2 linked regions of the Neurospora crassa OR74A genome follow. Each later gene encodes a partner of the first gene's protein in a complex. Links are inferred from orthologs where the notes say so. Each region holds a gene or a part of one and is shown on either strand. Other genes may lie near its edges.

The links. Proteins that work in one complex are often made in the same cells at the same time.
Region 2: un-17 (region 1) and NCU07885 share a complex: the UniProt entries of both Saccharomyces cerevisiae proteins name them as parts of the cleavage and polyadenylation factor (CPF) complex. The link is inferred for Neurospora crassa OR74A from reciprocal best matches to the Saccharomyces cerevisiae genes PAP1 and SWD2.

The regions. Positions count from the first base shown.
Region 1 is NC_026503.1:4,131,408-4,135,156, reverse strand, and holds the start of un-17 (Poly(A) polymerase), read left to right. Parts: upstream 1-1,295; 5' UTR 1,296-1,855; coding exon 1,856-2,755; intron 2,756-2,804; coding exon 2,805-3,749. Other genes in the region: NCU08984 (hypothetical protein), read right to left, coding at 1-121, 213-370, 432-473. UniProt on the Saccharomyces cerevisiae protein: Polymerase component of the cleavage and polyadenylation factor (CPF) complex, which plays a key role in polyadenylation-dependent pre-mRNA 3'-end formation and cooperates with cleavage factors including the CFIA complex and NAB4/CFIB.
Region 2 is NC_026503.1:1,232,231-1,235,979, forward strand, and holds NCU07885 (WD repeat containing protein 82), read left to right. Parts: upstream 1-1,610; 5' UTR 1,611-1,737; coding exon 1,738-2,107; intron 2,108-2,170; coding exon 2,171-2,934; 3' UTR 2,935-3,580; downstream 3,581-3,749. Other genes in the region: NCU07884 (mitochondrial oxaloacetate transporter), read right to left, coding at 1-328, 446-462. UniProt on the Saccharomyces cerevisiae protein: The COMPASS (Set1C) complex specifically mono-, di- and trimethylates histone H3 to form H3K4me1/2/3, which subsequently plays a role in telomere length maintenance and transcription elongation regulation. Involved in mediating RNA polymerase II termination.

The sequences.
Region 1 (3,749 bases):
GGTTTCGGCGGCGACGATGCCGCCCATGGAGTGGCCGACTAGAACGACGCGGACCGAGGGATCTATGGTGGGCGATGAGGTTCCGGCGGCAACTTCGAGGTCGATGACTTTATTCATGAGCCTGTGATAGCGAGGGCGACCCATGTTAGGGATGGTTCGGGGCTTCAAGCATGTGACAGATGAAGGAACGGATGCGGTCGATGAGCACATACCAATCTCGAAATCGCGCTACGCACTCGCCCAAGTCCCCTCGAGTCTCATATTTGGGATATACCACGACGTTGACGTTTATCTTGGGTAGGTCGGCCGCGACAAGTTGGCGGAGGTGCTCGGTGAAGGCATAGTTGTCGCCAAAGGTCGACTCACCTCCCTTTGCATGACAATGTCAGTTTGATCTTGGCTGGCGCGTCGCTTAATCTCATTGTACATACCTTGAAGCCGTGGATGAAGCAGAGAAGTAATGTCTTTTTCATCCTTCCCCATTGAGACTAAGCAAAGTGGAAGTGGTGCAAAATGGATGTAGTGTAGGGGAGGCCGAGAGAATCCAGATGCGACACCCATGTAAACTTTCAACGTTGCCCCGGCTGTTACGGTGATCCTCCATCTAGCGGCAGCGTCATGTGCAGGGGCCTGCAGGGCCAGTGTGGGGGCGGGGCCGCGCTATGGAAGGGACCTCCCAGGGGAACTCCAGTGGATGATGCATGGACACCTGGTCCGGTCTTGCCCTTGCTTGCCGCTTGGGGCCAGATCCCATCTTCCACAGGGGCCGCGGCAGCTTTGAAATGTCATCTGTTCTCCAAATCCATACTTCTACTCTATCGTCATTTGACCTTCACTCCGATGGTACGTACCTAGCATTAGACCAAAGTTGAATTGGTACTTACAGCCGATATAATAGAATACGTCCCTGAATATTAGACCGATGTTTACTGCAAAAATGGAACTGATTCTGCCAACTCACCTGTCCCCATGGCGTTACTCGAATGTACTGTAAGATGCCCAGAAGTGGACAGACGGACATCCTACGCCTACCTACCTAGGTACTTGAAGGAACAGGTCGGGTTGTCTGGGGAAGACCTTCTTCTACCTGAAATGCGGCAGTCCAGCGGCCTTTGCAATGTGACGATTGAGCTTTTCAGAGCTTGACTCCCTGAATTGTCGGAACCAAGACACCAAAACCTAAGCCAACATGATACCCGTCTTATTATGGTGGGGGTACCAAAGTACTTGAATTTCAGTGGAGATTAGGTATCCCCGTGCGGGTCCCAGGATACTCGTCAGAGGTTTACGGGTGATTCCTGCAGGTTGCATTTCAAGTTGCAGTGTCCAGCGTCTCTGAAATAACAGGACATTGCTTCGCGCCAATCATGCTGCCAGACTTGTGGTGAGTGGGAGTCCGTGCTCAACACCCAGGCTGAACCGAGACGCGCCGAGTCGGCGACGTGCTTTTTGTCTTCTGCGACAACCTACCTAACGCAGCCCCTTCATCCATCCCCATCGATCACCCTGTCTGGTTTCGGCTTCTCCGACTGCCCCAGGGTCGATATCAGAATCAATCAGCTATCCGGTATCACCATCTTTCGAATCAACAAAAAGCACAGCATATCATGACCTGAGCGTTCTTTGCCTTACGTGGAGCTGCTTGGTTCCTTCTGTTCAATCCCATCATAGACTTCTATTTTCGCCCGTCAGCGTTCTCTCACTGCGCCTGCGCTCCTCTCTTTTGCGCGCGCGATCCAGTTTTCCTCTTGTCGCGACCAGCGTCATCGATCAGTCCTGCACGACATATTTCGTCTTCGATACTCTTAGCGGCGCATCCAGCACGCTTCCTCGTCCCACCGCGCTTCGTGCCACCATGTCGAACCCCGAACAAACCTTGGGCGTAACGCCTCCTATCTCGACCACGCTACCTACCGACGCCGAGAAACGACAGACCGAGGCCCTTCTCAAAGAGCTGCGCGCGCAGGGCACCTTCGAAAGTCAGGCCGAAACTGATAAGCGATGGGCGGTGCTCGCAGATCTCCAGCGCATTACTGATGAATTCGTGAAGAGGGCCGCGCAGGAAAAGGAGCCGCACAATGCCATTTTGATTCGCGACGCTCGAGGCAGAATATTCACATATGGCAGTTTTCGCTTGGGTGTGTATGGGCCAGGATCCGATATCGATACCCTCGTCGTTGTACCCAAGTACGTCACCGTCAAGCAATACTTCGACATCTTTCCCAACCTTCTTGTCGAAATGGCTCCCCCTGGCGCCATCACCGACCTGACTCCAGTACCCGAGGCCTTCGTTCCTATCATCAAGTTCGAGTATTCGGGCATCAGCATAGATCTTATCTTCTGTTCAATCCAGAGCCTTCGTCAACTTCCTGACGACAAGGACTGGAATTTGAACAGTAACAACCTCCTGCGCGGCTTGTCCGAAAACGAGGTGCGCTCGCTCAACGGAACACGCGTAACCGACGAGATCCTTGCGCTGGTTCCCGAAGAGAAGACGTTCAAGCTGGCACTTCGTGCAATCAAGCTCTGGGCTCAGAGAAGGGCTATCTACGCCAATATCATGGGTTATCCTGGTGGTGTGGCTTGGGCTATGCTGGTCGCCAGAGTATGCCAACTCTATCCGAAGGCGACGAGTGCTGTCATCGTCAGGAAATTCTTCACTATTATGCTCAACTGGCCATGGCCGCTCCCGGTTCTTCTGAAGAATATCGAATACAACCAGTCCATTACGCGTGTAGCGGTGTGGAATCCCAAGGTAAGTCAACCCCTCATCATTGTCGCGCTGATGTCTCACCACAGACTAGATATACCCGAGTGATCGCAATCACAAGATGCCCATCATCACCCCATCATACCCTTCCATGTGCGCGACACACAATGTTGGAAGGTCTTCAATGGCGGTCATTCAACAGGAGCTGGAACGGGGGGTGCAGATTTCCGAAGAGATCATGTTGGGTAAAAGGCCTTGGAAAGATTTGTTCGAGAAACACACCTTTTTCACCAACGGCTTCAAGTTTTACCTGACGGTCATCTCATCCGGCAGGACCAAAGAGGCGCAGAATACCTGGTCGGGCTTCGTCGAGTCAAGAGTGCGTGTTCTGGTCCAGAAGCTTGAGCTGCACCCTTCCATCGCCCTTGCCCGCCCCTTCAACAAAGGTTACGACAGAGTGCACCGATGCAAGACGGATGCTCAGGTCGAAGAGATTCAAACCGGAAATCTCACATACATGGTCAAGCCGACGGATATAGCCGCGAATGGGAGCGCCAAGAACGACAGCAAGGTTGAGGTCAAGGCGGAGATCAAGACGGAGGATGGTGTTGCACGGGAGCCGACTGTGCCGGCTGTCAAGGAAGAACCGAACGACGTGGTACATCTAGGAACGGTACCTCTAAAGCCTGAGGACAACTCTGTAAAGCCTGAGGCCAACGACTACGACGAAGACAAGGTTAAGCTGGAGGATATACCGGAGAAGGAGCCGGAGCTTGAGATTTACACCACTAACCATTACATCGGCCTGCAGCTGGTAGAGGGAGCTAAGTCTCTGGATCTGTCCAGAGAAGTCGACGACTTCAAGGCAATGTGCACCTCGAACGACATCTTCAAAGCAGAGTTGATGGGATTGACTATCCAGCACGTTAGGAATTTCGATCTCCCCGACGACGTTTTCGAGCCTGGAGAGACGAAGCCTGTTAGGCCAGTCAAGAAGAAGAAGCGTATGGCCGAAGGGGAACATGCGAACGGCCCGATG
Region 2 (3,749 bases), about 2.9 Mb from region 1:
GGCAAACATGTTGATGCCCAGGTTTTGCGTCTTTGCGTCGTTAAAGAGCGTGGTCGCAAGCGCGTGTCGCATCGGCTCGTAGAACCCCAGGCGGCATCCGTTCAGGAGGATCTGGTAAATGTACGCGCACCCGATACCGCGGTAGATGCCGCCCAGTCCTTCGTTGCGCACGATCACGGAGACACCGTGGATCGGACCCCGGTAGAAGTGAGGGGAGGAGGTAGAGGATTGGAGCTCGCCTTGGAGCTGCATGCGGATCTTGACGGTCTCGAAGGGGTGCGTGGCGGTTACGGCGCCGCAGGCTGCGATGCCGCCGGCTATAAAGGCGCTGTGAGGGAGGGAGGGATGTTAGTCTGGGCTTGGGACCGGGAGGGGGGGGTTTGGGTTGGGTTGGGTTGCGCGCGCGCACTGGGCGCATTGTGAGGAGGGGAAAGGGAGAGCTTACCCTGCTGTTGTTGACATAGTGACGTTAGGGTATCTGTTTTGGGAGAATGTATGGGGAAGAAGGGTGAGGGAGGGGAAAATATCAGGGAGAACTCAAGTCGAGTCCCCAGAGTCTTTGGGTTGATTGCGACGGAGTTGGCGCGCAAAGTCAAAGAAAGGCGCAATGCCGAGTCTTGCCGGTGTTCGGAGAGAGAGAGGGGGGAACACGGGAACTAATTCGGGAGTAGGCCGGGGAAGGCGGGAGTGGATGTCACCGTATCACGGAGAGTAACGACGGCAATGAGGGGATGATCTGGGGAAAGATCAGATCGGTGTATGTACAGGTGTACAACTGAACGAAGTCACAACGAACGACGACGACTGCTTCTTTCTCCAGGAACAGGAAGGAAAGAGAAGACCACCGAGAGCTGTCCGGGAAATTTATTGGAGCTTCAAGGTGGCCTCGCCGGTCAGTCGCCGGGCAGACAAGGGGGTCGAAGTGATCGACTGGGACCAACTCCCGCTTTGGGTCAGGCACGGAAGTTGGTGTCAAGATCCTCCTCCGATGCCGTGGATGGGGGTGGTGCCCAATGGCGACGAGGCGAAGGAGTTGTAAGTGCTGCGGTTTCGGCGCGCGGACAACAGATTAATGTGGAGTTTCTGCGGTATGACAAGGGGGCGTGGCGGGTCGGGCGGCCCAGACGTGGACCCTGAATCAGAACCGGAAATGTCTGGGCCGGGGAACGCTGTCGTTGCTGCGAGGGAGGGTTAGGGCCTAGGCGCGATGGACGGCAACAAGTGTCCGAATCGGAGCTTGATGACAATTTCGAAAAAGACGAAGGTACCGAAAGCTTGGAAGACAGTCATACTGGGACCTCAATTGAGCATCCTACCGTAGTGTGTAACGATTGCCATTTTAGCTTCGTGAACATACACTAGCACCGTTGTCAATTGACTGCTCGGTTTGCGGCCAAATCACCAACGTATCCCAGCGTTGATGGAGTTTGTCCAGCTGTCACTGACATCGATACCTACTTACCCAACTGGTGTCGTTGTCCATGCAGTGACCATGGATCGAAACAAGGGTTAGGGTCTTGGGCCACTGCCAAGCCATTGTATGTACCTTGACGTCGCATTACTGAAGCTCTGTCTCTCCGCCCGGCAGAAACACCAACGCGGTTGACGGATGCTACTAAGTTTTGAACCAAACATCAAATAACTACCATCAATCCGATACTATACAATTTGACCCAATATATTTGCCCCGCCATCTTCTCTGGTTCTAGCCGGTTTCAATACGATCAATCGACCGCAATGTCATCGACACCGATGGACATCGACGAACCCGGCGCGGGAACACCCTCCCTGAACGTTACTCGGTTACTTGGGCCTAATGGGCCCAGTACCTCCAAGATCAGTGAGGTGATCAAGAATTTTAGGCCGACAAAGTTCTTCCAGAGAGACGACGTGAAGGAGGGTAGGCCCCAGCCATACGTTCTATCGATCGACTTTGACGACCCTGGCGAGCTTTGCATGACGTCTGAAAGCGACGAGACCATCCAGATATATAACGTTAGGGAAGGTCGGCATGACAAGAGCTTGCTGAGCAAAAAGTACGGCGTCAAGCATGCGAAGTTTACACATTCCAGCTCGGGCATCATCTATGCGAGCACGAAGCAAAACGGTATGTCACTGGACGCCCTTTCTCCCTTCAATGACTGCTCTTCGCTGACCTGGATCGCCACAGACGCAATCCGCTATCTGGCAACCCACGACAATACGTTTATCCGATATTTCGAAGGCCACGAGGCCTCCGTTACCAACATTGCTCTCCATCCCGGCTCCGATAACTTTCTTTCATGCAGTCTTGACACCACAGTCAGGCTCTGGGACCTCAACAGCAGGAACTGGGTTGCCAAATTCCATCTCACCAATCCCACTTTAGCGGCCTGGGACCCTGCTGGTCTCGTTTTTGCCATCGCCCTACCAGCCAGCGCCAGCATTCTCCTTTACGATTACCGCAACTACGTGAAACCGTTCAAGATCATCGACGTTTTGAAAGAGAAGGGGCCAGCTGATGCGGATGCCGTCTTCAGAGGCTGGACGAAACTCGAGTTCTCCAACGACGGGAAGCATATTCTTCTAGGAACACGGACCGGAGGACACTTCCTCTTTGACGCCATTGACGGGAACCTGAAGGCGTACTTGCGAAAGCCCCAAGGCGGCACCAGACGGCCAGCCCCTGGCGAGGCTGATGGTGGAAGCGGTGCGCTAGAGAGCAGTGGAGACTGTTGCTTTACGCCAGATGGACGATATGTCGTGTCGGGCGCGGCCAAGGACCTGTTGGTTTGGGACACATTGCAAACTCCCAATAACAAGGTTCTGGAACCGAATTTCCTTCCCCAGGAAGGAAAGAAGGAACCAGTCCTTGTGCAGTACAACCCAAGATTCAACATGATTGCCACTGCGGATAAGGAGCTTATGTTTTGGCTGCCGGTCTCCGATTTATAAACGGAGTCTATCGGAAACTGTTGGACCTCACCTCCATGGTCAACCCCACGGAATATGTGGGACCGGGCTTTGCCGGTTCAGCGCAAACGTCCGCTTGAGAAATATGAATTGGCGACGTTTATCTGGGCCGAAGTCGATGATCAAGAGTTCTAAAATAACTTTTCATTATTTCTGGACACCGATCGCTTCGTGGTTGTGGGGGCGTTGTCCCCATTGTGGCGCCGGGATACTTGGAGAGTTCCCCAAAAGCCGCACGCACGAGGAAGGGGGTTGTGGCTCAAACTGCACAGGACCCATGCCGCGATGTACGAAGGTCTTGGATGGTATCCTGTTGCTACATCAGGGCAGAGCAGAAGAGCGTCGTGGTAAGAGAACATGAGAGACGCCGGGAACAAAAGAAGATTTTGATGCACTGTACATGAGATACCCATTTTGCATTATTCGCCGGCGTATGGGAGTAGTTAGCATGCTTCAAAGGGTTCAGGTCGCGAGGCAAGTGGTCTGGAAGGCTGATTTAACCAGGCTCGTAGGAGGAGATGGAAAGGAATGGTCAAGATGAACAGCATGTAATGGTTGATCAAGTTGATTTTCACTGAGGGGATGATAGGCATTAGCAAATAGAGGAAGCTCAATATTGTTTACTGTCCATAAAGAATCTGACCATCAGGTAGTCTTGATGAAGGTTGAGTTCAATACCACCCTGAATCCCATATGTCAGGCCTTGGACGACGGGAGCTTAAAGTAAACACATCCCCTGTTGCCCCCTGTCATTAGAGGTATGCCCCGCATTTGAGCTGGATGGGACCGCGGTGAAC